Linked DNA regions of Mus musculus. The protein of the gene in region 5 purifies or fractionates together with the protein of the main gene of each other region. This does not show direct contact. Links are inferred from orthologs where the notes say so. Each region holds a gene or a part of one and is shown on either strand. Other genes may lie near its edges.

Region 1 (3,500 bases), on a different chromosome or scaffold from region 5:
CTCTCTCGTAGACTTTCCGCGCATGAGCAAAGTAAGCATGCTTCTCTTCAAATCTTGCGTACTTGATCCAGTTTTTCACAGCAGGGTGCACGAGCACAAGTACGGGCAGGGAGTGAAGGAAAGAGCAGGCAGGACAACGCGGCTAAGCCAGTAACAGGCTGAGGCTGGCCCAGTGGCAGTGCGCATGCACAGCACATGCCAAAGGTTCAACACCCACACAACAGACCCCCACTCTTACTAACCTCCCAAACTCCAACAATTCCAAATACAAGTGGGGATGAGCACACACAAAGGAGGCTAGCAACTAACCTATAGCCTGAGAGGTCACCTTACTCTTTTGACCTCCCTTCAACGCTGACTCGGTATTGTAGCAGTGGGACAGTCTGAAGCCAAAGAAAACCTCAACCCAGTTACAAACCATGTGATCTTCAACAAAAATGTCTGTCTCAGTTTTTTTCATGTGTGGAAAGGGAAAAATACTATCAACTTCACCCATCATTGCTTAATGAAATGAGGAAATGTTTATAAAGCTTAGCACTTTCTGGCCAAAAGAACATGGCCAATAAAAAGCACCTATTCCATTAAATGCTCATTACAACAGTCTACTCACAACGAAAGAACAAACTGCCACAAAAAGAGAGCTGCTATCTAAAGCTAAAGACAAATCTTCAATTGCCATTTATTACCAGAGCACATCAGCCTTCCCTGAAGAAGCCAAATCATTTCCACAGGGAAAATACACTCAAGGGGAGCAAGGATGTTAAGACCATCAGCTCTGAGGTTCATTTCCTGGGTCAAATACCCCTAGTGCCACCACCTGAGACCCTCATCAAGTTGCTTAATCAGTTTCCGCACTTGCTGAATGGGGTAGTTCCTGCACTTCAGGGTTTTCCCAAGCACTGACAGTAGTAAGAGCTCAGGGTCCCATCAGCTACAAACCCAGTGTTCCTCAAGCCTCTGCTAAGCCACTATGGAATGAGTAGAGACAACTGAAGATCTTAATGTTGCACAGCAAGGTTCTCACTGCTTACAGCAGCTCTGGAAAGCCAGTAAGAACTCTCAGCCACTGAATGCCAAGCCACTGATCCTAGGAGGAATATGCGTGCACACATCTCCCACAGACCAGTGTTAAATTCTAAAGCCAGCACATCCTATTTTCTTGTGTGTGTGTGTGTGTGTGTGTGTGTGTGTGTGTGTGTGTGTGTGTGTGTGTACGCACAAGCACATATGGGTGCAAGAGGCCAGAGGCTGACATCAGGTATCTTATTCAGTTGCTCCCCACCTCATTATTTGATATGGGGCCTCTCACTGAGCCTGGAGCTTACTTATTCAACTAGACTGACTAGCCTAAAGGCCTTGGAATCCTCCTGTCTCCACCTCCCCAGTGTTGGAATTACAGATATATGCTGGGTGCAGCTTTGTAAATGCGTGCTACAGATCCAAACACGGGCCTGTTGTGCACCAAGTACTTCGGCAACTAAGTCATCTACTCATGTGTTTGTGGCTCAGAGCACCAAGCAACTAGCTTTAGGCTGTCCCTCTCTCTGCAGGTGTCAGAACCTTGATCCACTGGTTTCAGAGAGGGAGAGCACTCCTTGTGGACACAGTGGGTTGCTCCTGACTTCACACTCAGGCATCACTATATACTGCTGAAGTAGACTTCAGCCATTGCTCTATACATGTCTGCAAATGACTGCTAAAGCATAGCAATTATTGAGAACTCGAAATAAATTTCAGTAAGTGTGGCAATTTGCAAATAAGGCGCCTCTGGGTGATGAGCTTCACAGATCCGTTTCTAACAGTGTTTTCACAAACACCATCTTCCACTTGTTAACATTGGTCTGTTTTCTATAGTGCTGAAGCCTAAACTCAGGGTCTCAAAATATGTTAGGCACATGCTCTATACATGAGTATATACCTAGACTTCACCATGTTTAGTTTTTAATTTTTCTTGTATAGAAAAGACACAAAGGCTCAAGGAACTAGATGACTCTGGAGTCATTTATTAGCTGGAGTCGCAGCTAGTAAGCAGTCAACTCTGATGAGCTCCATTAGCAGTGCCAATGAGCAATGCAGACCTCTGGTTCTAGCAGCTAGGACTTTGTGCAAACCCAAAAACGAACCCACAATATCTCTGAAAAGACTCAAATGACCCAGTCTACACATTTTTATTTGACCAGTTTCTAACCCTACAGAAAATTGTCAAAGGGACGAAACTTGCCTTCCTAGTTTCCAATGTCACATTAGTAGCTACATGTCTTTACTGTGACATCTTTTTGGGAGGTAGATACCCATGACAGCCATGTACCACTAATACCTTATTCAAAGGATATAGCGTTCATAGATGGTGCGGGCCCGCTCCACCTCTTTGTATCTCAGCTCGAAGTTGATGTAGGAATGCCAGGCCTGCTCCTCAGGCTGCCATTCCATCCAGCGCTCAAACACCTGGCGGGCACCAGCAACGTTGCCCAACATCTCCTCCATGTATGTGTACTTATACCTGACAAAATCATCCAAAGACGCCTGCTGTGGTCAAAATGACTCAGGAGGAAAAGTAACGCTTTGACACTTCTAACATTTTGTTAAATGAAAGATTTTAAGGTTTTTTTTTTCTGTTTTGTTTTCTTTGTTTTTCCAAGACAGGGTTTCTCTATGTAGCTTTGGCTATCCTGGAACCAGGTGGGCCTCTGCCACCTAAGTCTTGAGACTAAAGGTGTGTGCCACCACTGCCTGGTTGATTTTAAGTTTTATCTTTCCAAGATGTTTAAGCAAATGTTTTCTTATTAAAATATAAACCTGAAAAAGAATTATCCATAGGGGAGGAAGGCTTCATTAAGAAGTTTCTTATGAATAAAAAATTGTACTAAACATTTAAGTTTGATTACATAGCCATGGGACATTAGAATTATGATTCATAGATTATGTGACATTAAAAATCAGTATATATATTTTAAAAAAATAGAATATAATAATCAACACATACAACTATTATAATTGCAATAAACCTAATACCCAATCAAGTGGTATTTGCTAGTTCACAAAGACTGCTTTGTGCAATGAGCAGCTTACCAGAACTGGTTGACGCGTGGCAGAGTTGTGATGGCACGGTCCCAGATGTTTCGGGCATGGTTGACCTGGCGGTTCTTCATCTCCATTTCTGCATATTTCAGCCAGAGGGTAATATTTCGGTAGTCGACATCTAAAGCACGCTCGTATATGGATCGAGCCCTTAACAAATAAGATATGGAGAGCATCAAAGGCAGCAACCGTGAGATATGCAGCAGCCACCTCACAGTAGCTGCAATGTCCTCCTGTGTTGTTAGGCATCTATCTATCATGGGCCACCTTCTGGTCATAAAAAGAGGAAAAGCAATGATGTTCTCAAGTTATCGTACAGTCTTTAGAGACAGCATGCAATTATTTCATAAGGTCATGAGCAGTATAGTCAAGGTCTAGACAGGAAACACAGTGAGAAACAGCAATGTTTGGTGAAACAGGCT
Region 2 (3,930 bases), on a different chromosome or scaffold from region 5:
AAATTGTACTTGGAATAATAATAGGCACTAATATACTGCTAGTAAGTATGGAAACTAGTCATCTACTCTAGATATTTTATATAAACTACTTTTTTTCTGACAGTCTCACTTTGGGAACTTCTAAGCATGTGCATTAACGTGCATACATAAGGATACTCATACTTTCATCTACAGAAAATTCGAGGAAAGCACTTAACACCAATGAGCAAGACAAGAGACAACTACTGTACTACACAGCCAATGGGACCCAAATCCCAAGAGCTCACTGATATTACATTTTGTATTTAGGAATAAGTATGGACTCCAAAGATGGAAATAATGATTTGTAGTAGCTTACTGCTTTTTTCTTTATACATTTATGTGTGAAAATTTCTTGCCCTTTGCATCTTATCATCTTATTATTTAATTTCAGCTACCACGGGATTGTAGTGAAACACATAATTACAAATTCTTATCAGGAATATTAAGAACCATTAGGATAAAAATGTCCTTCCCAGATTTCTTGGGAGCTGGTGAGATGGCTCAGACTGAAAAACTGGGTTGACCCCTGAGGCCATCATGGTCAAGAGGAGGTAACTGACTCCGTGGTTTCTTCTCCTGGCCGCCCCTCCACCCCCACCCCCACCCACACGTGCTGGAATGGAGACAGCAAGGTCTGGTGACAGCTGGGGTGACAAAATGAACAAGCCTATGCTGTCAAATACACTAAACAAGAGCAAAGAGGGGGAGGGAGGGAAGCAAAGAGTCCCTGGCAGTCAAAAGTGCCTTCAAATCAAGTAAGGAAAAAAAAAAAAATACCAAGCACAAATACTGTATTGCTAAAGAAAACCAGTTCTATAAGAAAAGGTACTCAAAAAACTTAGGAAACTGCAAAAACTGCCTTGCAGAATCTCTAGAAATCAAGGACTCTCCTGTACTTAGTGACAAATATGAAATATTCAGAGGAAACATGAAGCTACCCGCGATATACGCAAAGTCCATTTTGCCAATGTTGTATGTTTTGCAAGAGAAATGACCATAATCACTGTAATGTGGAGCCCCAATTGCAATAAAAGCATTGAGTCGTGAACATACACACAAAAAAACTCTGCTTGCACAAACTCAGTGTTCATCCCAATGTGACCTCTATAAGGAGAGAAATTAGTTGCATCTTAGCCAAATGTGACATTAACTTTAACTTCACAGAAGTTCCCCACTTTATCAATCCAATATAAATGCCATTTATGACAGGTTGTGATGCCTAACTACAGTACTAAGTTTCCTGTTGAGAAAAGGAGAATTCTACATACCACTATAATCTATGGAAAAAGCTCACTGCAACTTTGCTCTCCCTTGGAGAATATTCATGAGCTGTTTCTACCTAAGAACTGATGGAGCTCAATTACTAACATTTGGAATGTTTGCTTGAGAGAACAGCTGTCTTGGGATGTTTTATTATTACAATGCTTAGTGTTATAAGCTTTAAAAAAAAAAACCTACACAATCAAAACATAACAAACCTGCTTTCCGTATTCAATATTTCAACCTAAGGAGAGCGACAGAACGCATCCTATCCTGACCTATTCTCACACTGGTAGTTAGAAATCAATCCCAAAGGACTTTCCGTTAACAAAAACTCAAGAGACCACACATCTGACTTGACAGCGAGTCGGTGTCACAAGACATAAGAAAATGATAAAATCCTACAACTGTTTTGGACATTTGGACTTCCGTGGATATATTTTTTAATTAACCCAACAGATCCCTGTACTGCCGAAGCATAAACATACAACTAATTAAAATGGGAGGGTAGGAATATAAACAAAAGTACATTTTAAGTATGAACTGTGAAAGAAAAGACTGGAAAATGATAATACAACTGCTTACTTGCTAAATGCCCTGTCTTTGCGAAAAGTCTAAGAAAAGGAACTAAAATGCCAGACCAGGAATCGGTGTAAGCCTTTCTCAATCTGCACGTGGGTGTTGTTTGTTCAAACACGCTTAAGATCACTTTTTTGAAAAGTGCGTCCAAAGTGGGGAGGAGATAGAAATAACTTCCAGAGCGGAGGGGGAAATACGTGTTTTCACAGGCCTACCCCAGTGATGCTACTTAAAAGCAAAGCCGGCTTTTAAGCAAAGCAGGAAATAAAGGAGATGGCGGGAGGGCAGGCAGAGGGCGGAAGTTGGCAACGGCCTCTCCTGAAGTGCCTCAATGGAAGAAGGCCCTTCGTCTCCCGCCAAACAGTGCGCCCCGAGGTCGGCTCGCCTCTATCCTCCCCCAAAACAGACAGCGCCCGCCGCCGCCCACGGGGGCAGTGCCCTTGGCCATCCGGTTCCGGCTGCGGGCCTCACGCGAGCACCGAGGCCTCGCGGCCCGCTCCGCACGCCCGCCGTTCCGCGGCCTCGTGGCCGCCACAGGCCGCTCGCCCCGGCCGCACACACTCGGCACGCGCCCCAGCCGGCCGACGGCAGACAAAGGCTCGGCAGCCGGGCCTGCTCCCCGCCACCATCCAACAAAGCCCGAGCCGCGACTGCGCGCCCCGGCCTGGCTTACCCATCGGTCCCCGCACGCTTCTTGCCGGAGGGGTAATCCTCCCCCAGGTCCAACCGATGCCTCTTGGACATCCTCGCACTCCCAGAAGCGGACGCTTAGGAAGGAGGGAAGAAGAGAGACTCCGGCAGCCGGATCCACGCACAAGAGGCCCGCGGCTCAACTCGCGGGGACCCCCACCCCTCCCGCCACCACAGCCCGCTCCGTGCGGCCCGAACCAGGAGCTAAAATGGCGGCCGCGACGAGGGCAGGGCCTGCGTGCGCGCCTCCGCGGCGGGCGTGCCGGCGTGGTGCGCGCGCACGCCGTCCGGAGGCGGGAACTCCCGTCCCGCCCGCTGTGCGATTGGCTGAAATGGCTCTGAGTTCCCGCGGGCTCCTCCCTTTCCCCTCGCGTCTCTCTGAGAGCTGATCTGAGCTGCTGCTAAGGACCGAAACGCGCCTCAAGCTGTCACTTGCCGCCTGGAGTTCGTTGGGAAAGTTGAAAAAGCCTAGTCCTGTTTAGGAAATCTATCCAGCTGTGTATATACTTTTTGCTTTTAGGGTATGAAGCTCAGGAAGGATAAGAAAAACAAGATCACACAGCTGGCAAGTGGCAAAGCAGGACACAATTTATAACTCCAGAACGAGAATTTGCAGTTGTTGCGCCAGATGCCCTGTAGCGGTGAGAAAAAATGTTAACTTTAATTACTGTGACTCGTTTTGTCCATTCACCCCAGAACAGATAACATCTATTTGTTCAAGGTATAGGTGTTTTGTATAGGGTTCAGAAAATTGGAGGTAATCGCACTGGGCACTGTATTTTGCCTCCAATCCTCTGCCCTAATCTTGCTCCGTTTGTGTGTATATGAGTGCATATTAGGCACTCAGAGACATTAGCCCTATCTCTGTCCTCGTTTGGTTTGGTTTGGTTTGGTTTTTTGAGACAGGGTTTCTCTGTGTGGCTCTGGCTGTCCACAAACAAGCTCTGTAGAAGAGGCTAGCCTGGAATTCAGAGGTTAGGCTGTCTCTGCCTCCCAGTGCTGGGACTAAAGGCGTGCCCCAGCATGCCTAGTTGCTGTGCTCCTTAGTAGAGTGAACCCTGAAAGACATTTTATAGACATGGTTACCTGGACTGAAGGAAATCAACAAATAGCTCATCCATTAAGACTCCACTGTAATGGCAAGTTGTTGAGGCAAGGTGACACTTAAGAGGTTGTGTATCTTTCTCCCTTCAGCCATTGTGCATACTCAATTACATTCATTTCCAGAAGTGTGGGCGAAAGAGGTCTAAGGATCAGCCCAAATACAGGGTATCACTTCATGTCAAGACTCTCCTTTGCTGCTCCTTGGCTCTAGTCCCTCGAAAATTCTCAGAAGGATAATCTCTAAGATTAAATACAACAGAAACACAACAGATGATA
Region 3 (4,216 bases), on a different chromosome or scaffold from region 5:
CAGATACCTCATTGTTATGCAGAGTCAGGCAGAGTTTGCACTCATAGGATCCCAAGTGGTTCTTCATAAAATACGGGTCCTGGGAGTGAATAAATGTACCGTTAGACTGCATGAACCAAGGACTGAGGCATGTGAGAGCTCTGTGGATGTGGGAACTGGCACCCCCTCCCCCCGACCTTGTTGATGTCAATGGTTTCCAGGGCCAATTGGCGCAGACGCTCTCTCCGATCCCGGTTGCTCTCAGAGGAGGAGGCTACGCCCCCACTCCCAGTCTTGCCTCCAGGTCTGTGCTGAAAGTCCATGATGCAGGCCTGGGTGCTTCAGGGGACAGGAAGAAACCTGGGGGAGTAAGGACAGCTAAGGCTCAGAACACTGTACATGATGCTAGGACGAGGTAGCCCAGCAGGCAGGTCATTCCCTTCGCTGAACTCCTGATCCTCCTAAGAGCTGTGACCACAGTTGAGCCACCTCTCCCCGGTGTTGTTGTTAATTTTTCTCATTATTATTATTATTATTAAGAGAGGATTCTCTATGTAGTCATGGTTACTCTCTACATAGATCAGGCTGGCCTGTGTGCCTGCCTTTGCAGGCATTAAAGGACACGCCCTCCTCCACCTGACACATGGCATATGGAGTGCTTGGTACCAAGGGTCCCATCTTTGAGGCTCAACCAAAGCCTATAGGCAGTGTCATCTGATGACAGAACACTTTAGACTACTCAGTGTCAGCCCCAGCCCTTGGTTTAAACCTATAGGTAAATTCAGAGACAGTACTCAGGAAACAAGTGGAGGCAGTCCTTGTTAATATTGCTGGAGCCTCCTGCAAATTTGACTTAAGAACCTTGAGGGCCAGGTACCTAGTTACCTCAGTGTCACCACAGAGTGTGTCTGGGACAGACAGGACACTGATACCACTGGCTGTCAAAGAGAAAGAGGCTAGAATGCAAAGGATACAAGATGCTCTAGATGCCGAGAGAATGGCTGAAAGATGTATATGGAAGTGGTGGGGCAGAACCAGCTTGTCGGATGTTTCATACTCAGCCACTTAAGGACTGAAAAGAGCATTGTCTACATCTTTGAAAGCTACTAAGAGACACATTCCCAGAGATGAAGTTGGCCAGATGCAAGAGCAGAGTCTAAGGGTGGCAGCATGGGCTTCTCAGAGCAAGAGGGCACCCGCAACAGCAGGATGGAAAACCACTTCAACCGCTGGCAAAGACAACTTTCAAGAACATAGGACTCTATACCTGGCCTCTGCAGGGAGCCTGGGTATCCAGCCACAGATGTGAGGGTGCACCTCAAGGGTGGAACACTTGTCCATCATGCATAAGGTCCCCTAGGGGTACATGTTTGAGGTTGAATGTGTATGGGTACCCACTGCAAAAATGCAGTTAGTTCATGAGCTTTGGAGGGAAAACAAACACTAGGACAAAACTGGCCTGGGCAGGCTGGAGAAGTGGCTCAGCGGTTAAGAGCACTGACTGCTCCTCCAGAGGTCCTGAGTTCAAATCCCAGCAATGATGTGGTGGTTCACAAACATCTGTAATGGAACCCGATGCCCTCTTCTGGTGTGTATCTAAAGACAGCTACAGTGTACTCATTATAAATAAATAAATCTTAGAAAAGCAAAACAAAACTGGGGCCTGGGTGAGCACACTGCTTGCTCTGTGGATGGGGCACCAAGCTCTGCAAACGCCCACCAACAGTTCCCAACCCCAGGAAACACAGAAAACGTAGGGCGTGGTGGTGTACACTTCTCATCCCATTTCTTTATCCAAGGTAGGAAGATGGTTAGGTTAGTGTTAGAGACCAAACCGGGCTGTGCAGTGAGATCCTATCTCAGATAAAAGAAAAAAGGGTGGCGGTAGGCTCCAGGGACTCTGATATCCCTTTCTGGACCCTATGGGTACCCCACTCACACACAAAGCTCCACACAGACACATTAAAACAAAATCTTTAAAAACGCGGGGAAGGGCATTTATCTGCTTGCTGACTACTGCTGCAACACGACCACCACGGCAGACCGCACCTTCATACCATCAGCCAAAATAAACCCTCGATTCCTTAAAACCAATCAAAACAGCCAAGTGTGGTGGCTCATGCTGTAAGTCCCACTATGCGAGAGAAGGCAGAGGCATGGCAATGTCTGTGAACTGGAAATCGGCCAAGTTTCCACACCGAGTTGCAGGTCAGCCCCAGTTAAGCAGTGAGACCCTGTCTGAAATAAATGAAAAGTTGTGCCGATGACTGGAGGGGCTCACACGTGAAACTTGGGACAGGAGGCCAGGACGCAGGGACGGGAGATGCGCAACCTCACGGACTACCGTAAGATTACCGATGAACGATCAATAAGGACAGAGACGTGGTATATGTTAAGGTAATGGTCTGGGAGGAGGCCTGGTCCCAGGACAAATCCCTTTTATGTGCAGATACCGTTATCTTTCAATCCCAGCAAGGGACCTGCTCCGGTGGACAGGAGCAGTGGTCGCCAGGGCCCCGATTAACGAAGGTGGAAACGGAAACAACCAAGGAGGTCAAAATACACGCCGAGACGCCACTCGGACACCCCGAACCACCCTGGAGGCCACAGAAGCGCCACCCAAGCCAGCAATCACGCGGCGACCCAACGGGCCTCGCGAGAGCGCGCTCTCCCGGCGGGCGCGCGCCGATCCTGAGGCAAGAGGGCGGCCGCTGCCTCTCCCCGTCCCGCCCCCGGGCTTTCGCTCCCACCTTCAAGCCTCCCCGACGGAGCAGCCGCCACCGACAAACTGTGCAGCTCCTCACCAACGCTAAGGCCTCGCTATCCGGGTTTAATCTCCGCCAAGGCCGCGGTTTCGCCGCGCGCGTGCGCACGACCGACGAAGCGATCCCTTCCGGGAGCAAAGGCGTCGGCGTTTCGTGTGTGCGCAGGCCCAGCGGATGGACTTCCGTCTTCGGTAGGCGGGAGAGAAAGGAGCGTCGGGGCGCAGAGTGCGCGTGCTCACTGCAGCGACCGCACAGTTTCGCTCCGCCCTAAGTCTAGCGGCGCCGGCTATCGTGACAAGAGGAAAGCGTTAGGGTTCACCGGCCCAGGAAGGCGCTTCGCTCATCGTGGAGTGCTCTGAGTCTAACTTACACCTCACGCTTAGTATGTCTGGCGGTTATTTAAGGACGGGCCATCTCCTTCCCGTCTGACTCTGTTCAACCGCGCAGACCCATAAATTAGGGCCGCGCAACCAGCCCAACAACGCGCAGGCGCAGTAACCGGGTTGGGACTTCCGAGATCGCTCTCTGAGACTTTTGTGGCGCTGGCTGCGGCTTCGGGGAGGACGGCGGCCGAGAGGCAGGGCGCGTGTTGGTTCGCGCGGATCCGTGCGGCGGGATGCGGTACAACGAGAAAGAGTTGCAGGCGCTGTCCCGACAGCCGGCAGAGATGGCGGCCGAGCTGGGCATGCGGGGCCCCAAGAAGGGCAGCGGTGAGCCAGTCGGGGCTGCGGCTGGGGCACTTGGGCGGGCCGGCGCGGTTCCTGGGTGGGCGAATGAGAACAGTTCCGCGCTGACACCGCCCTGTGCCTACAGTGGCCAAGCGGCGACTGGTGAAGCTGGTGGTCAACTTCCTCTTTTACTTCCGCCCGGACGAGGCCGAGGTAGGGGCGTGGGGGGCGCGGGGGACCCGCGCGGCCCGGAGGCCGGCGCTCATGGCCGTGTCTCGCGCAGCCCCTCGGAGCCCTGTTGCTGGAGCGCTGCAGAGTGGCCCAGGAAGAACCGGGCGGCTTCTCCATCAGTAAGTTTCCATCCCGGACTCTGCTCCGCACACCCGATCCTTTTTACTCCCTTAGGAGCCTACGTTTGTCCTGGATCCCGCGTCCGCTGGTGGCCCAGGACTGGCCCAGCTATCACTCAGAGTGCCCACTGGGTCTGGTTCTCGCTTAGTTTCTTCTCCGACCCCTCTGCCCGTTCCCAACTGAGAGAGGTGCAGTCTGCGAACGTGGGGTGTATAGCAGGAACAGTCTCTGCCGCCCTCTCTGCCACGGGTAGGGTACGGGCAGGCTTTAAGGCCTGTCTCAGCCTTCTTCCCTAACGAGAACTTTACAGTATCTTGTAGAGATTTGGGCATCATGTCTACCTATATTATCCAGTGGGGTTCTTTATCTGTACCCCTCTTTTCTCCTTCTTGCACGAGTGCACACGTGTTTTGGGGTGTGAGTATGCCAGTAAGGCCAGAGGGAAACTTGAGT
Region 4 (3,500 bases), on a different chromosome or scaffold from region 5:
GAAGAATGGGGACTAAACAATTAGTGTAAAGAGCAGAGCCTCTTTCTCTCACTGATACCACACTTCCTACCTGCACTTTCCCTGCTACTTAGGATCCTCTTCCTCCTGTGTCCACTTGCTCCACTGTTTCTGTTTAAGCCTGTTTCACTGCTCTGCGTGTTGAAAAAAGCCATGGTGCTAATCCAATACCTTAGGATCCTTTTGGTTGATTCTGTCTGTATTATAGTTCTCCCACCCCAGCAAAGAGACTGGTTCCTCAGCTGATTGGTCTTGCACACCCACGAGAATACTGTCCCTACCCACTGTAGGACCTCCCCACTCCAGTATCAAAGGCCTCTGAGTTGCCATGGCCCTTCAGCCCCTCCTAGTGGTTCTGACTGTGCTCAGGAAAGCACCAGCACAGAAGCACGGCCCCAGTATTTAACAGTTTTCATCTGAGTTTGAAAAAGAATAAGGTGGTATTTCTGATCAGGACTGTCTTCCAGAGCATCAACAACTTCATTCCTGTTTTGACTGCCACAATTTGGAGCTGTGTGTGTGTGTGTCCTTGAGCATATATGTGAGTGCCACATGTATGCCAGAGGCCATGAAGGACAAAAAAGGACATCAGGTCACGTAAAACTTGGAATTACTAGCAGTTGTGGGTTGACATATGAGTGCTGGGAAACAAACCCAGGTTCTCTATAAGAATAGTAAGCACTTGGAACTATGTCTCCAGCTATTCTTAAAGAAAAAATTGCTGGAGCTGAGACGAAAGGATGGACCATCTACAGACTGACACACCCAGGGATCCATCCCATAATCAGCCTCCAAATGCTGACACCATTGCACACGCCAGCAAGATTTTGCTGAAAGGACCTTGATATAGCTGTCTCTTGTGAGGCTATGCCGGGGCCTGGCAAACACAGAAGTGGATGCTCACAGTCAGCTATTGGATGGAACACAGGGCCCCCAGTGGAGGAGCTAGAGAAAGTACCCAAGGAGCTGAAGGGATCTGCAATCCTATAGGTGGAACAACGTTATGAACTAACCAGTACCCCCCCCCCTCGTGTCTCTAGCTGCATATGAATCAGAAGATGGCCTAGTCGGCCATCAGTGGAAAGAGAAGCCCATTGGTCGTGCAAACTTTATATGCCTCAGTACAGGGGAACACCAGGGCCAAGAAGTGGGAGTGAGTGGTAGGGGGGTGGGGGAGGGTATGGGGGACTTTTAGGATAGCATTTGAAATGTAAATGAAGAAAATACCTAATTAAAAAAAAGTTGCTAAATAAAAGAAATAAAAAAAAAGAAAAATTGCTGATTAAAACTAAATTCTAGTCAGTCCCTAGAGATGACCAGAATGCTGTGGGTGATTTATGAGTCTAAACCTAGCAACTAAAAACTGTCAGGAAGTTAAGATCCTGTCTCTGGTTACATGGGCCTCACTGCTCAGACCTAGGTTCCATGGCCCGGATACCAGCCATAGAGTCCTACAGCTACACTCACCTCCTGCTACTACTATGGAGGGAGAGTGTGCAAATCCACCACACATGGAGAGAGAGACATCAGGCCACAGTGAAACTATGATGGTGTCTGCTATATATGACCTGCCCATGTGTCTCCTGACAGAGTGGGAACAGCTTCCACGTGTTTGACCAGGGCCAGTTTGCCAAGGAGGTGCTGCCCAAGTACTTCAAGCACAACAACATGGCTAGCTTCGTGCGGCAGCTCAACATGTGTAAGTACCTCTTTCAGGATGCTATGCTTGCTTCACTGGGTGTGGAGAAATAGACCCCAGCCTATTTCTAAGAGATGGAGGCCTGGGTTGGCTGAAGAAGGGTCCTCATGAGTTTGAGCCTGAATTCTCCAGGGAAGAGTGTAGGATATGAGGCCCTAACCTAATGGCCACACTTCCATTTACAAAAAGGGAAGCTGTTCGGGGACAAAGTCTTTTCCAACCAAGAATAACTTGCTATGTATGGTAAATGGACACCAGTCAGACTCTCGTACAGTTTTCTAGGAGGCCCCTTGCCTGCCCTAGGCCATGGCTAGGCTGTTGAAGGTCTGGTCCCTGGCCCTCAAACAGAACTTCCCCCACCCCCATATACACAGATGGCTTCCGAAAAGTAGTCCACATTGAGCAGGGTGGCCTGGTCAAGCCTGAGAGAGATGACACCGAGTTCCAGCATCCTTGTTTCTTGCGTGGACAGGAACAGCTCCTTGAGAACATCAAGAGGAAAGTGACCAGCGTGAGTCACCAGCCCTGAGTACAGCCCCTCCCTGCCCTAAATATTCCTGCAGGCTATGGGCTGGGAGCAGTATCTAGGTGGTGCTGCAGGACTAGCCTAAAAGCATAGCCTGTGCTCTCTGTCTCTGACCCCCTCCCCCTTCCCAGTGTTTCCCAGGCCCTCCTCATTCCCTGGATGCCTAGGTGAAGCACAGGAGCCTACCACACTCCAGAGCCACTTTCGACTCTTGTATGCCCCACCCCTTAGGTGTCCACCCTGAAGAGTGAGGACATAAAAATACGCCAGGACAGTGTCACCCGGCTGTTGACAGATGTGCAGCTGATGAAGGGGAAACAGGAGTGTATGGACTCCAAGCTCCTGGCCATGAAGCAGTAGGTCCCAAGGCTCAGGAGGGTGGCCAGGTTGCTTTGGGTCTCCTACCCGATCCTGCAGAGCCATTCAAGCCTCCTTCCCCCTCCCAGCCTGCCTTCATTGTTTCTATGGAAACCCTGTCTTGTACATCTCCAGACACAGAGTGGGGTTGGAGGTCTCCTACTGCACCCACTTCTCACTCCCCTGCTGGAATTCACATTTTCAGGATTTGAGCACACAAAGCCCATTTCCAGGTGCCTCCCTAAAAACCAGGCCTGACAGGAGCTGACCACAACAGTCCTTGGGCCAGACCTCTCTACTGTTCTCTAGTCACAATGACTCAACTCGCCCTTTATCACTCACTCAGCACAGTTCACAGCTGCCTTCTACCCCAAAACTGAGGGTAATCTGTAGTTTAGGATCTTTCCCAGAGACCTGTCCTGTGTGCCTAGCCAGTATGTAACAAGTGCCCCATTGCAGCTAGGATCCTAAGGTACCATCAGATTCTATCCATGCCCTCCCTCAGCCCTGGCTGACGTTTGAATCCTGCCCTGTAAGTAGAGTGGAGTTAGGGAATCAGTTGTGCAGTGAGCCCTCATCTGGTCCAGCCCTGTCCATCAACAGCCTGATTCTCTGGCTCTTCTAATGTGGCCCAATTGACCCAGCAATGTGTTGCAGCGAGAACGAGGCCCTGTGGCGGGAGGTGGCCAGCCTTCGGCAGAAGCATGCCCAGCAGCAAAAAGTTGTCAACAAGGTGGGCAGGGCTGGTGGTAGGTGGGTCCCCTCCATGACTGGGCCAGGGTGACAGTATCCTTTCTGCCCCACAGCTCATTCAGTTCCTGATCTCACTGGTGCAGTCGAACCGGATCCTGGGGGTGAAGAGAAAGATGTGAGGCTCTGGGAATGTCTACACTGTCCACT
Region 5 (4,177 bases):
GATTATTTGTTTTGATACAGTCTCTCTCTAGATCCTTGGCTGTGCTGTACTGGAACTTGCTATGTAGATTTGGCTGGCCTTGAAAACACAGAGATCACCTGCCTCTGCCTCTCAAGTTCTGGGATTACCATCATGGCTGGCAGGGTTTTTATTTTTATTCTTCAGTTAATTTTGTTGCTTGAAGCTCCAGGCATTAAATCTAGTACGTTACTTCTAATAATCAAGCATTAAGCTCAAAATCTGGCGCCCTGAAGTCAGATTACCATGCTATGCTTGCCAGTGCTCATCATGCTGTGTTACAAGAATCTTTAGGCGTTGGGAGAGACAGCTTAGGGGTTAAAAAGATTTACTGCTTTTGCAGGGGACCCAGGTTCCCAGCACCCAAGTGGTAGATCATACCTATCTCCATTCCAGGGGAGCTAATGTCTTCTTTTAATCTCCCTGGGTACCAGGCATGTCCGTGGTGGGCAGACATACATGAAGGCAAAACATTAATGATTCTTTGTTTTGTTTTGTTTTGTTTTGTTTTTGAGGTTTGGTAAACACTATATAGCCGAGGAAGAATTTGAATGTCTTTTTGAAAAAAAAATATTTTATGTATATGGGTTGTTTGGGTTGCATGTATGTATGTGCACCATGTGTGTTCTGTATCTACAGAGGGCAGAAGAGGGTTTTCAGATCCCCCTAGAATCAGAGTTTCGGACAGTCGTGAGGCACCATGTGCTGGGGATCACACCAGGTTCTCTAGAAGAACAGCTAAAGCTCTTAATCGTTTAGTCCTCTTTCCAGGACCAGACTTTGAATTTATGACTATTCTGCCTTTAACCTCCCGCCCCTCCACCCCCACCCCCCACCCCCCACCAGTGCTGAGATCCTACAGGTCTATGCATTGCCAGAAATGGAATGAACCAAGGGCCTCCTGTACAAACTGAAGTACATTCCCATCCCAGATCATCATACATTTTTGCCAGCCTTCCTTCTGCCTTGGATGGTCCAAGAGTTATTTGACTCTTTGGTACATAGTTACCACTATTAACAGTAATGTAATGAAGGAATAGAAGAACAAAGGATTCATTGAGTAGGAGTTAGTACTACATATCAGCTCTGAATTCATGAGAATAAATATAGGGGAAATGTGCAACGTACGCAAACTTATTAAAATTGTATGGCTTTGGCTTTTGAGGAACAATATCAATAGCCAATTAAATGTCAGATCTATTAGAGAGGGCTCCTAAACTGACTGGCAGAAGGCGGGGCGTGAGCCTACCCTGACCACACCCCTCGCCCTGAAATCCGCTTTTAGACCCGCCTCTCCGGCTCGGGCTGCAACGTCAATTGGAGATGTCGCTAATCCATCAGAGCATCTCGGCGTCTATTGGATGAGCTTCTGAGCCTGGTTGCGCACTTCCTGGAGTTGGGAACGCGGAGCGGACGTCGTCTTTCCGCCATTGCTCTGCGAGCCTAGCCGCTACCTGAGTGAGGGGCGACAGGTGGGTGGTGGGCGTCTGAGGCTGAGCGCAAGGTAATCGAGTGGGCCGAGCGGCCCGAGGAGCTGCGCCAGGCCCGGGTCCCGAGCGCTCAGCCCGGCTAGAGTGCAGGCCAGGGGGCTCCGGACGTGTTCCATCTGCCCCTTGTGGGCCCGGGCCTAGCTCATTAGTTTTGGCCTGCCTCTCTATCCCAGATTCTCCCGGCATGGCCGGAGTGTTTCCTTACCGAGGGCCGGGTAACCCGGTGCCCGGCCCTCTAGCCCCGCTGCCGGATTATATGTCAGAGGAGAAGCTGCAGGAGAAAGGTGAGAGGCGAACGGGAACGGCGTGCGCGGGCTCGAACGTGTAGGCGGGTTTCATTTCTTCCCTCCATAGGCAGGTCATCAGGGGTGTGCTTATTAGCAGTATTTACATTTTTAAAAATTGAGTCCAATCATTGAAAGTTTGGAAGTGCCTGTTATTTTGCAGGAGCTTATTGTGTACGTGTGTGTGTGTAAAATGCATCAATGACGATAAAACCTGTTTCCTTATAGGGTTTGCATTACTATGTAGGAATTAGACAACAACCCTCCCCAAAACATCTATAGCAAAAATATCAGGTGGTTTGGGGTAGTAAAATGGCAGGATACTTGGCAGTGAGTATTTCTCTTCACAGCATGCCGAGGGTTGCCCCAGGGCAAGAGTTAGGGATAATTAGGGTAAATGTGTGCAGCCCTTTAAGCTGAGGTGCTTTTCTAGCTCGAAAATGGCAGCAGTTGCAGGCCAAGCGATATGCAGAGAAGCGGAAATTTGGGTTTGTGGATGCTCAGAAGGAAGACATGCCACCAGAACATGTCAGGAAGATCATTCGAGACCATGGAGACATGACCAACAGGAAGTTCCGTCATGACAAAAGGGTCTATTTGGGGTGAGTAACATCCCAGGATAATATCATATGGAGTTTGACTTCTTTCCTTCCTCTGCCCCTTCATTGACAGTGCTGGATAGAGGGACTAGCATTTGGAATGTGACTTTTTAACTGAGACAGTTTCCCTGTGTGGGCATTTTTGCCCTGGATTTAGCTCTGTAGACCGGGCTGCCCTTTAACCGATAGGGATCCCCATGCCTCTGCCTCCAAAGAGCTGGGATTGAAGGCAGATGTCACCGTGTCCAGCATGGAACATGGCTCTAGGCTGTACATAGGATGACTGTAGGAGTAAGGCTAGGACCACTGGGATTCTGTGATAGTTTCCAGATCGTCTACCTATGCCATTGATTGTTTTGCTTTGCCCTGCTGGTGTTGTTGTAAAATGTCTGGTATTGTGGAACTGTTTGAAGCTCAAATTAAGACACTAGGCATTCTGGATGCCTCTTTGGTCACTATCATTCAGAGGTTTAGGATAGTTCATTCCTGGGGTCGCTCTTTTACTGTTAATTCTTCCACCTCAAGCTGCAGAGATTCTTAACATTCCATTTGGATACAAAAATTTGGCCTGTTAATTAATTGATGTGGGGGAAGCCTTGGAAGTTTTTTTGTTTTGTTTTGTTTTTGTTTTTTTTCCTTTTTAAAGATTTATTTAATTCATTTATATGAGTGTACTGTAGATGTCTTCAGACACACCAGAAGAGGGCATCAGATCCCATCACAAATGGTTGTAAGCCACCATGTGGGTGCTGGGAATTGAACTCAGGACCTTTGGAAGAGCAATCAGTGCTCTTAACTGCTGAGCCATCTTTCTAGCCCCACCTTGAGAGTTTTATTGCAAAAAATAATTTCTTAGCCAAAAAATAATTTCTTAGCCAGGCAGTGGTGGTGCACGCCTTGAATCCCAGCACTCGAGAGGCAGAAGCAGGCTGATTTCAGAGTTCAAGGCCAGCCTGGTCTACCGAGTGAGTTCCAAGACAGCCAGAGCTATATAGAGAAACTCTGTCTTGAAAAAACCATTAATAGAAATAACAATACATGATGTGAATAAAAGTACGACGGCAAAAAAAAAAAAAAAAGAAATAACAATAACAACAACTTCTTGCCGGGCAAGGTAATAGCATACGCCTGTAACCCCAGCACTTGGGAGTCTGATTACTTTGAGTTTGAGGATGGCCTGGTTTACAGAGTGAGTTCTATAACTGATAAGGCTGGACAGAGAAACTCTGTCCTAAAAAATAAAACATCAACAACAAAAATAACTTAAGCAGCCGTGGTAGTGTTTGCATGTAATCTCTGCCCTTAGCTGCAGAGGCAGGAGAATCATGGGCTTGAGGCCAGTTTGAACTACCTGGTGAGATGCTCCATCAAAAACAGCAAAGCCACGTGTGGTGGCACAGGCATTTAGTCTCTGTGCATGGGAGACAGAGATAGGTGAGACTTCTGTTCTATACAGTGAGTTTCAGGCCAGCCAGGGCTATACGGTGGGACCCTGTCTCAAACAAACAACAATAAACATTATTACTGTTATTATTGAAACTTGCTTTTGGTCTTCAGTGAATAGACCGTATTGGTCCTTTTTTTTTTTTTTTTTTTTTTTTTTTAGGAGTATAAGTTTAGTGGTATGATGGATGAGAGACAAATGGTTACCACATAGAACAGGGAAGGTATTGGAATTTACAGGAAGGGTAGAAGGAAGTTGCTTTCAAAGGGACGGGTGTTAGTTTCTACAGACTGGGTCCCGCACCAAGACATTTGAAAGGGAGAGTGGTATTAGATGAAGGTG
Region 6 (4,039 bases), on a different chromosome or scaffold from region 5:
AGCGGCGGTGCAAGCCTTCAACCACAGCACAGGGGAGGCAGAGGCAGGCTGATTCAGAGCTATTCCAGGACAGCCAAAGCGACATAAAGAAACCCTGCCTGGGAGGAAAAAAAAAGAAAAAAAAGAAAAAGGCAAGAAAAAAAGTAAGACTGTCAGGTAGGTAAACCATAAACAAATAAGGGGAAAATGTGACTTGGTAGATCTAGTCAGCAGTCAGGTAGGCACAACTGTTGAAACCTCTGAATGGGTTGAGATCTTATAGGCAGTGTTAAGGGTTTAGCAATAATGCCACGTAACAGTAAGTACTCAACTAAAGACAGCTAATTCTCCCTGGGACTTCTCTTGGAGCAAAATACAAAAAAAGGCCTCAGGATACATCCTAACTCTTCTTCCTCACCTTCCTCAAGTGTAAGGCGAGAATACATCTTTTCAGAAACAGGGCCCTTCTAAATGCTGCTGAATAAGTCTAGCTCATGAGAACAGTTCCCTTCCACTACTTTGACAAATAGAAATGGCAAATGATTACCTATCTAGCTTCTTTCCAGGACTATATCTTTTCAGCTATCTTCCATGGTCTGGAGTAAGCAAGCAAGCAAGCCTGTGTTTCAGGCTTCAAGTCTTTTTTTTTTTTTTTCTCGAGACAGGGTTTCTCTGGGCAGTCCTGGCTGTCCTGGAACCCACTCTGTAGACCAGGCTGGCTTCAAGAAATCCACCTGCCTCTGCCTCTCAAGTGCTGGGATTAAAGGCCTGTGCCACCACTGTCCAGCTGTGGCACTCATTCTTAATTTTTTTTTTTTTTTTTGCTATCCTGTAGCTCTGGCTGTCACAGAGATTCCCCCACTTTTGTTTCCCAAGTGCTGGGATTAAAGCTGTGTACCATGACACCTTGCTGGGACTCATCCTTCCTGTCTCCTGAGTACAGGAACCAAAGGCTTATTCTATTAAAGACAAGGTCTCTAGCCCAGGCTGGCTTCAAATGTTCTATGTAGGATGACTTGAATCTCCTGCCTCCGCCTGGGATTATAGGCTTTCGATATGGAGCTGGAGACTGAAACCAGGGCTTTGTGCACAACAGGCAAAAGCATACTACCAAGTTAAGTAATCCTGACAATTAGCTCCCTAAACCTTGCTTGGCTAAATCAATCTATCAATCTGGCAAGGCACCCAGCTAAAAGCTCAGTGGTAAGTTTGATTTCTGGCTGCTTAGTTAACTGTGTTACAGCTCAGCTGACTTTTGGATGAGATCACTAAAAGCAGCACTGTCCATGAGTGTGAACCATGAGCACACCCTTTAATCTCCTTTCAGCCAAGTCACAAAAGTTAGTGAAACCTTTCTTATTTTTTTTAGAAACAAGAACTGGGAAATGAGGCTCTCGAGTTCAAAGGTCTGTCCTGGTCTACTTCCAGGACAGGCAAGGCTACACGAAGTAACACTGAGCCCAGTATACTCAACAAGACCTCTACCATTCACAAGTACTGACAGTCCAAAATTAAAGGCTTTTTCCCCCCTATTGAAACATGGTCTCACTAGGCAGCCCTGGCTAGCCTAGGTTGATCAAGCTAGCCTCAAACTCTGACTTGCCATCTGAGTGCTGGGATTAAAGGCAGTGTGTGGGTCCCAAAACTAGTTTTTAACAAAATGAACATTACCTTTGTAACATATAATCAACATAAAATTACTAAATTTCTTGTGGGTTTTCTATACTAAGTCATTTAAATCTGGTATGTACTTTTGGGGTTTGGGTTACTATTCAAGTGCTTCATACCAGTGACAAAGGGTAGAGATCACCCTTGTGCACCCGCACCCCGACCTGCTGGAATGTACTTTATGAAACAGGCAGAACCCATTGTTAAGCAGTCTACAAATTATGAACTGCGGCGTAAGCGAACTCTTTGCTGGGTGTGGTCGAGTGCTAGAAAGCAAAGGTGAGGGTCTCTGTTCACTCAAGCTCAGGTAACAGCTCAGGACCTTGGTCACCTCTCCCATCCTCCGGAAAGGTGTGCGTCCAACAGTCAGAGAGAGGAGAAAACAAATGGTTAAATCTCGAGCAGAGGGCGTCTTGGCAATCTGAAAGCACTCTCTACATATAAAAGCACATCGGAGACACAGTGCCTACGAAGTAACACAAGGTAGAGAAAGCAAGCCTCCACCACGTCTCTACCATCAACCATAACCTTCCCATATCCTCTCCCGCTGAGCTCCGTAACCGTGCTCGGTCCATCCTAGGACGGATCCTCAATGCCCAGAACTGAGAACTGCACACTGGATTCCGACAGACACTCGTGGAAAGAGATCTTTAAAGGAAACCAACCTTTTAGGCCGGCTCGCAATCTGCACCGTCCGCTCCGGCCACAGACATCGACCTCGCCTCCCACCCTCTTTCTCCACTCACTACTCAGGTCGGGCCCGGTGTGGCGAGCCTAGGTCTCCAGCCTGACAAGAAAACAAGAGAAGCGGCAGGGCTCGCAGCTGCTGGAGTCCTGCAGGCTAAAGCGGGTCGCCGCCGAGCGAACCGTGCGGGATCACCCTTCCGTCGGTGACCGCCTCGACCACTTCCGGGCCGCGGCCTCGACACCTCCCACTCCGCCCGACCTGAACCACACTCTCTCCTCGGGCTCTGTTCCTCGCCGGCGGGCCTCTGCCGCACTGAGGAACGCAACCGGCTCCACGATGCGCCCCGCCAAGCCTGGCAGAAGGTCCCCGGAGGTCGGATGCAGCCGGATTCCTACCCCGACTTACATCTTCCCAAGGCCGCCACCTCCTCCCGCTCTTCTCAGACCAGGACGCCGGCGCAACTTTGTCGTCAGAGGTGAGAAGCGGGAAGGCGCAGCCGTCGTCGCGCGACGATGACGTAAGCACACTCAGCCAATGCAAGTTAGCGGTGGAGGACTAAAGGACAGCAACTGTGTGTGGGCGGAGCGTCGTAGCGCCTACGGTCCCCCCCCCCGCCCCCCCTCCCCGACTGGTCTAAAGTTTCCTGGACTTGTTTTGCTCATTCTGAAGCGCGCGATGATTGGCTGACCGGCACCAGAGGTTTGTGCTCTTTGGCGCCTACCGGATCTGTGTGGATGGAGCTACTCGGGTTGCCTCTGCTGTCATTAGGATCTAAGGCACCCTGCTGAGGCCGCGTTATTGTAGTAAAGGGACAGGCTGGTACGGACGGTGAGTTCCTATGGTCAAGTCTCTGGTAGTTAGTGGTGATTGCATAGATATGGTCTCTGTGCTGGTGGGATACAGCTGACTGGGTGTAGCGGGCGGCCGATGAGGCCAGAAAGGAAAAAAGTTTGAGGAAATGTTGAAGGAGGTTTCTCCCAGGAGACATTTCTGACAAGAATGCGTGGGGCAGAAGGAACAGCAAAGGCGTTCAGGATCGCTGGGAGAAGAAGAGGCACGCTAGTCTATACCGGGGTTACGTCAGTAACTTCTTAGCAAGGACATAGAGGATCTGGTCTCTGCACGAGGCTAAAGAGTAGCACCCGCCGTAGTGCCCCGCCTCCCGACTTTGCCAACACATTCTTTTGTTTGTTTGTTTGTTTGTTTTGTAGCCCTGGCTGTCCTGGAACTCACTCTGTAGACCAGGCTAGGCTGGCCTAGAACTCAGAAATCTGCCTGCCTCTGCCTCCCAACTGCTGGGATTAAAGACGAGCGCCACCGCCCGGTTTGCCTAGCACATTCTTGCTCCGTTATTTGCGGAAGAAAGGGATATGCACACAATCCCCGCGGTTATCTAAGTAGATTTGAGGCAGGAACGAAGAAAGAGGAACAGAGCTAAGGTGAGCTTCAGGAGGAAGGTACAAAGGTGACTTAGATTTGGATTACATATTGCTGTGAAAGATAGGAAAGTGGCCAATGTGCACTTTGGTGATCCCGGAGAGATGGAGAGAAGAGATTATCTCGGTCCAAGGAGCTGGGTGTGTCCTGTGGGACAGTCAGGAAGAGGAGCCTGCTTCTGAAGTCTGCTTTCCTGAGGTATTCATTTTTTGGGGTGGGGTTAGCAGATCTAGACAGTTTGGTCTGGTACCCTTGTTGGATTTAAGA
Region 7 (3,931 bases), on a different chromosome or scaffold from region 5:
ATCTATGTCAGACTTAGTGGTGTGTGTTAATTCCTGGTGGTCAGTGCCTGAACTGAATCACATGATATGATTTAATATTAGAATATTTTTTTCTCTCTCTCTTTTCTCTCTCTCTCTGTCTTTCTTTCTCTCTCCCTCCCTCCTTCCTTCCCTCCCTCCCTCCCTCCCTCCCTCCCTCCCTCCCTCCTTCCTTCCTTCCTTCCTTCCTTCCTTTCATACAAAGTCTACTCCTGGCTGGCCTGGAAAGCATTATGTATACCACCTGGCCTCAAGGCCATGCTCAGCTTTAAACTATTTCATTTAATGACTACCTAAAAGTAATCTCAGTTTCCCTGGGTCTGATCTTCAAAACCATACCAAGAAATAATTTCAGTTTGGGAAAAATCTTGAATCTTCCAAAAGGGAAGAAAGAAAGAAAGACCCTGCTGTGTCTTGACAGGTACATCTTACATGCAGTTAATCCCTAAGTGCTTAAGAGAGACTCACTGATGCTTCCCAATTAAGGGCCCGACCAAAACCGTCAACATCACCTCACTCTTACCTGTTCATAGAGATCAATAAGGGTTTTGTCTGGCAATTTCAGAGACTGTATAGCCTGTAAAACAGTATCCCAATGGCCACTATTAATATCAGCCACGAAACTTTCAATGCTGTCCACAGTATTCAGAGAGACAGTAGTTTCCTCCTGTAAGGTGGCCAGTGCCCGATGTAAACTGTTCTCCTTCAAGTACTGCATGATTAGTCGGATCACACTGAAAGAAAGAAAGAAAGTCATTTAGTCTGGAGATTGAAAGGAAGTTGGTAGCCATTATTATTCTGATCACTAGATCTACTGGACATTTGTGTGAAATACTTTAAACCTGAAATAGTTAATGACATTTTCCTTTTTAAATCAACTGGCCAGGCAGTAGTGGCACACTTCCTTAATCTCAGCATTCAGAAAGCAGAGGCAGGTGGATCTCTGAGGCCAGTCTGGTCTACAGAGTGAGTTCCAAGACAGCAAGGACGACACAGAGAAACCCTGCCTCAAAAAAACAAAATTAACAAATTGAGTCATCTAAAATGCTATAAAAAAATCTGGTCTGTTAAAAAATTGAGTTCTAGCATTCTGGAGGCAGAGAAAGAAAGGAAGGTGAATCTCTCTGAGTTTGAGGCCAGCCTGGTCTACAGAGTGAGTTCCAGGACAGCCAGGACCCTGTCTTAAAACAATAACAACAACAATAATAATAACAATAATAATATGAACATGCAGTTATTCCTCATATAGAAGGGTATTCAAGACTCAAAGATTGGTCGTTAAGGCTATTATTAGACCTCAGGGTAAAATATCCTTTGCAGTTCCTGTCCCGACTAACATTATCCAACACGTTTTGTCGCTGTTTTATTTTTCTACACAGGGACCATCTGTTACTGCGTCATATTTTATTTACTGTTTTTGTCTACTGTCTGCCTCCCGCAATCAAAGCATATATTCATTTAAAGACGATTTATAAAGCTGGGGGTTGGCACACGTCTTTAATTCCAGCACTCCGGAGGCAGAGGCAGGTGAATCTGAGTCTGAGACTCACCTGGTCTACAGAGTGAGTTCCAGGACAGCTACGGCTTCACAGAAAACCTTGTCTCAGAAGCAAAACCCAGGAAAAAAACGACTTACATATAACTGAGTTAAAAATATGTATCTCACCGGGCGTGGTGGTGCACGCCTTTAATCCCAGCACTTGGGAGGCAGAGGCAGGCAGATTTCTGAGTTCGAGGCCAGCCTGGTCTACAAAGTGAGTTCCAGGACAGCCAGAGCTATACAGAGAAACCCTGTCTCGGAAAAAAAAAAAAAAAAAAATATATATATATATATATATATATATATATATATATATATATATATCGCTATGAAGAGGCTCAGGCTGGACTCCAGGCCTTCCTACTTGCCCATTTAATACTGCGATCATAGACGTGCATACTTCACATCCAGCTTCAGTCTTAAAAATACATAGCAGGTTTCAGACTCCGCCGACTTAATTAATAAACCTTGCTTTTCTGCAGATCTTCAGAACATGCGTATCTCTCCCCTCCACTCAGAACACAGCTGTTTGCTAATTTCATAATTTAATTTTACTTTTCAAAAAATAAAAGGCGGTGGGTGGAGTCCTGGGGAGTCCAAGCAAGACTCTTCAGTCACTCACTCCCCGCCCACCTGGCTCCTCGTCGCCGTCCCCGCCTTCACTAAGTCTCATTCTTCTGACTCAATCAATATTCAAATTCTGTGTCCACAAAGAGGTTCTCTCTCTCTGCAAATTGCAAACCAAATCAATACACCACACTGGATCTAATCAGATAGGAGAAGCAGCAGAGTCTTTGGGGTAACTAGTGCTTGGACCAGAAGGAAGAGCTGAGGGACTGGCGGACACCCGGGCAGCGCCGAGGGCGGTGTGGCTAGCAGAGGAAACCACAGTAGTCAGGTCTACTCGGTGTGCCCCAGCACAGCCCGACGCCGGGGCCCAGGGGCTCCAGACGGCCCGCCCCACGGCTGCTCTCTCGCGGGCCCATCTAAAGAGGGAGCCAACCCGGAAAGTGCTTCGAGGCCGCAACCTCCGGCGCGCAGCTCCCCCTCCAACGTCCTCCGACCACCCTCCACTCCACCCCACGCCACGCCGCGAACACGCCACGCCGCGAACACGCCACGGCAGGACTCACTCGGAAGACTCGATTTCGATCGACATAGCGGTAACGCTCCGGGTCCAGGCCCCACTCAGCACACAGCCGGTCGCACAACGCCGCGCGACACTTCCGGCGGCCGCGCTGCGACACTTCCGCTCCGTTAGGGTCTAAAGGGCGAAGGAAGAACACGCCCAGGTGGGCGGGGCGTGAGGGGCGGGGCCTCGCGAAAGCGTGGCAGGACTACGAATGCCCATCGGTTTCGCGAACGTACACACAGGTGGAGTCTTTCTACAGCCTTGGCTGTCCCGCCCTCCTCTGCCTCCCTAATGCTAGGATTAAAAGTGTGCGCTATCGCGCTCAGATCCAGCTAAGAATTAAGTTGGAAAAAGCTGCGGTTACGGAGAAAGAAATGTAACCAAATGCGAAGTTATAACAGATCTGAGACTCCTTTCAATATAGAGTTTAAATCATACCTTACTGGTATGGCATGACAGAGCTGAGGACATAGCTCAGTGATCAGAGTGTTTACCTAGCAAGTCAGACGCCCTGGTTCAATCCCCACTAATAAAAAACCATACATAAATATTGATGAATTTTATAAATAAAGGCTAGGGAAAAGGTGGGATGGACATGCAGCTTATAGCTGGCTTCAAACTAATTATATAGTTGAAGATGCCCCTACTTTCCAAGGGCTAGAATTACAGATGGCATCACAGTGCTTATCTCCAATAAGAGCTATTTTAAAATTCTATTGACAAAGTACATATATATGTATACACTTATATATATATACATATTCATACATATACATATACATATATATACACACACACAACACAGTGGCATGTCTATCTTGTGAAATTACATATTGAGATAGTTTAGGGATTTCTAATGGCTCTTGTCTACCTTCCACACAATTTCTTTACAGTCTCCTTTTTTCCCCCCAGTGCTAGGTATCAAAACCAGAGCCTTTCAATATAGCCGCTCATATGCTGTTTATGTTTTCATTTTTACTTGATTTTTGTTTGTTTGTTTTGTTGTATTGTGTTTGGTTTTTGACACAGGATTTCTCTTTGTAGCCCTGACTGTCCTGGAACTTGTTCTGTAAGCCAGGCTGGCCTTGCTGCCTGCCTCTATTCCTGAGTGCTGGGACTAAAGGAGGGAAATTTTTAAAAAGAGTCGTTTGAAACTAAGTAGAGAAAATGACATATGCTACTGTTACAATGAATGGGATCTTCTAAGGTGCTTGGATTAAAGAGGTGTATCACCATGCCCA

The links.
Region 1: the proteins of Prpf8 (region 5) and Crnkl1 fractionate together in Homo sapiens (co-fractionation; 3 studies listed by BioGRID, with this or other methods). This does not show direct contact. The link is inferred for Mus musculus from reciprocal best matches to the Homo sapiens genes PRPF8 and CRNKL1.
Region 2: the proteins of Prpf8 (region 5) and Dhx15 fractionate together in Homo sapiens (co-fractionation; 3 studies listed by BioGRID, with this or other methods). This does not show direct contact. The link is inferred for Mus musculus from reciprocal best matches to the Homo sapiens genes PRPF8 and DHX15.
Region 3: the proteins of Prpf8 (region 5) and Sf3a2 purify together in Homo sapiens (affinity purification with mass spectrometry; 3 studies listed by BioGRID and IntAct, with this or other methods). This does not show direct contact. The link is inferred for Mus musculus from reciprocal best matches to the Homo sapiens genes PRPF8 and SF3A2.
Region 4: the proteins of Prpf8 (region 5) and Hsf1 purify together in Homo sapiens (affinity purification with mass spectrometry; 3 studies listed by BioGRID). This does not show direct contact. The link is inferred for Mus musculus from reciprocal best matches to the Homo sapiens genes PRPF8 and HSF1.
Region 6: the proteins of Prpf8 (region 5) and Rnps1 purify together in Homo sapiens (affinity purification with mass spectrometry; 3 studies listed by BioGRID and IntAct, with this or other methods). This does not show direct contact. The link is inferred for Mus musculus from reciprocal best matches to the Homo sapiens genes PRPF8 and RNPS1.
Region 7: the proteins of Prpf8 (region 5) and Smu1 purify together in Homo sapiens (affinity purification with mass spectrometry; 3 studies listed by BioGRID, with this or other methods). This does not show direct contact. The link is inferred for Mus musculus from reciprocal best matches to the Homo sapiens genes PRPF8 and SMU1.

Annotation. Positions count from the first base shown.
Region 1 is NC_000068.7:145,928,201-145,931,700, forward strand, and holds part of Crnkl1 (crooked neck-like protein 1), read right to left. Parts: intron 3,229-3,500; coding exon 3,070-3,228; intron 2,501-3,069; coding exon 2,334-2,500; intron 100-2,333; coding exon 1-99. UniProt on the Homo sapiens protein: Involved in pre-mRNA splicing process. As a component of the minor spliceosome, involved in the splicing of U12-type introns in pre-mRNAs.
Region 2 is NC_000071.6:52,187,747-52,191,676, forward strand, and holds the start of Dhx15 (pre-mRNA-splicing factor ATP-dependent RNA helicase DHX15), read right to left. Parts: upstream 2,801-3,930; 5' UTR 2,605-2,800; coding exon 2,534-2,604; intron 1-2,533.
Region 3 is NC_000076.6:80,797,319-80,801,534, reverse strand, and holds the start of Sf3a2 (splicing factor 3A subunit 2), read right to left. Parts: upstream 2,801-4,216; 5' UTR 2,730-2,800; intron 340-2,729; 5' UTR 303-339; coding exon 177-302; intron 80-176; coding exon 8-79; intron 1-7. Other genes in the region: Plekhj1 (pleckstrin homology domain-containing family J member 1), read left to right, coding at 3,361-3,454, 3,558-3,625, 3,696-3,762. UniProt on the Homo sapiens protein: Component of the 17S U2 SnRNP complex of the spliceosome, a large ribonucleoprotein complex that removes introns from transcribed pre-mRNAs.
Region 4 is NC_000081.6:76,494,362-76,497,861, forward strand, and holds part of Hsf1 (heat shock factor protein 1), read left to right. Parts: intron 1-1,608; coding exon 1,609-1,717; intron 1,718-2,091; coding exon 2,092-2,228; intron 2,229-2,474; coding exon 2,475-2,599; intron 2,600-3,257; coding exon 3,258-3,333; intron 3,334-3,406; coding exon 3,407-3,468; exon of another isoform or gene 3,469-3,500. UniProt on the Homo sapiens protein: Functions as a stress-inducible and DNA-binding transcription factor that plays a central role in the transcriptional activation of the heat shock response (HSR), leading to the expression of a large class of molecular chaperones, heat shock proteins (HSPs), that protect cells from cellular insult damage.
Region 5 is NC_000077.6:75,485,400-75,489,576, forward strand, and holds the start of Prpf8 (pre-mRNA-processing-splicing factor 8), read left to right. Parts: upstream 1-1,377; 5' UTR 1,378-1,692; coding exon 1,693-1,792; intron 1,793-2,225; coding exon 2,226-2,394; intron 2,395-4,177. UniProt on the Homo sapiens protein: Plays a role in pre-mRNA splicing as core component of precatalytic, catalytic and postcatalytic spliceosomal complexes, both of the predominant U2-type spliceosome and the minor U12-type spliceosome.
Region 6 is NC_000083.6:24,413,436-24,417,474, reverse strand, and holds the start of Rnps1 (RNA-binding protein with serine-rich domain 1), read right to left. Parts: upstream 2,801-4,039; 5' UTR 2,743-2,800; coding exon of another isoform or gene 2,741-2,742; intron 2,435-2,740; 5' UTR 2,313-2,434; exon of another isoform or gene 1,970-2,312; intron 1-1,969. UniProt on the Homo sapiens protein: Part of pre- and post-splicing multiprotein mRNP complexes. Auxiliary component of the splicing-dependent multiprotein exon junction complex (EJC) deposited at splice junction on mRNAs.
Region 7 is NC_000070.6:40,755,086-40,759,016, forward strand, and holds the start of Smu1 (WD40 repeat-containing protein SMU1), read right to left. Parts: upstream 2,801-3,931; 5' UTR 2,718-2,800; coding exon 2,692-2,717; intron 753-2,691; coding exon 542-752; intron 1-541. UniProt on the Homo sapiens protein: Involved in pre-mRNA splicing as a component of the spliceosome. Regulates alternative splicing of the HSPG2 pre-mRNA. Required for normal accumulation of IK.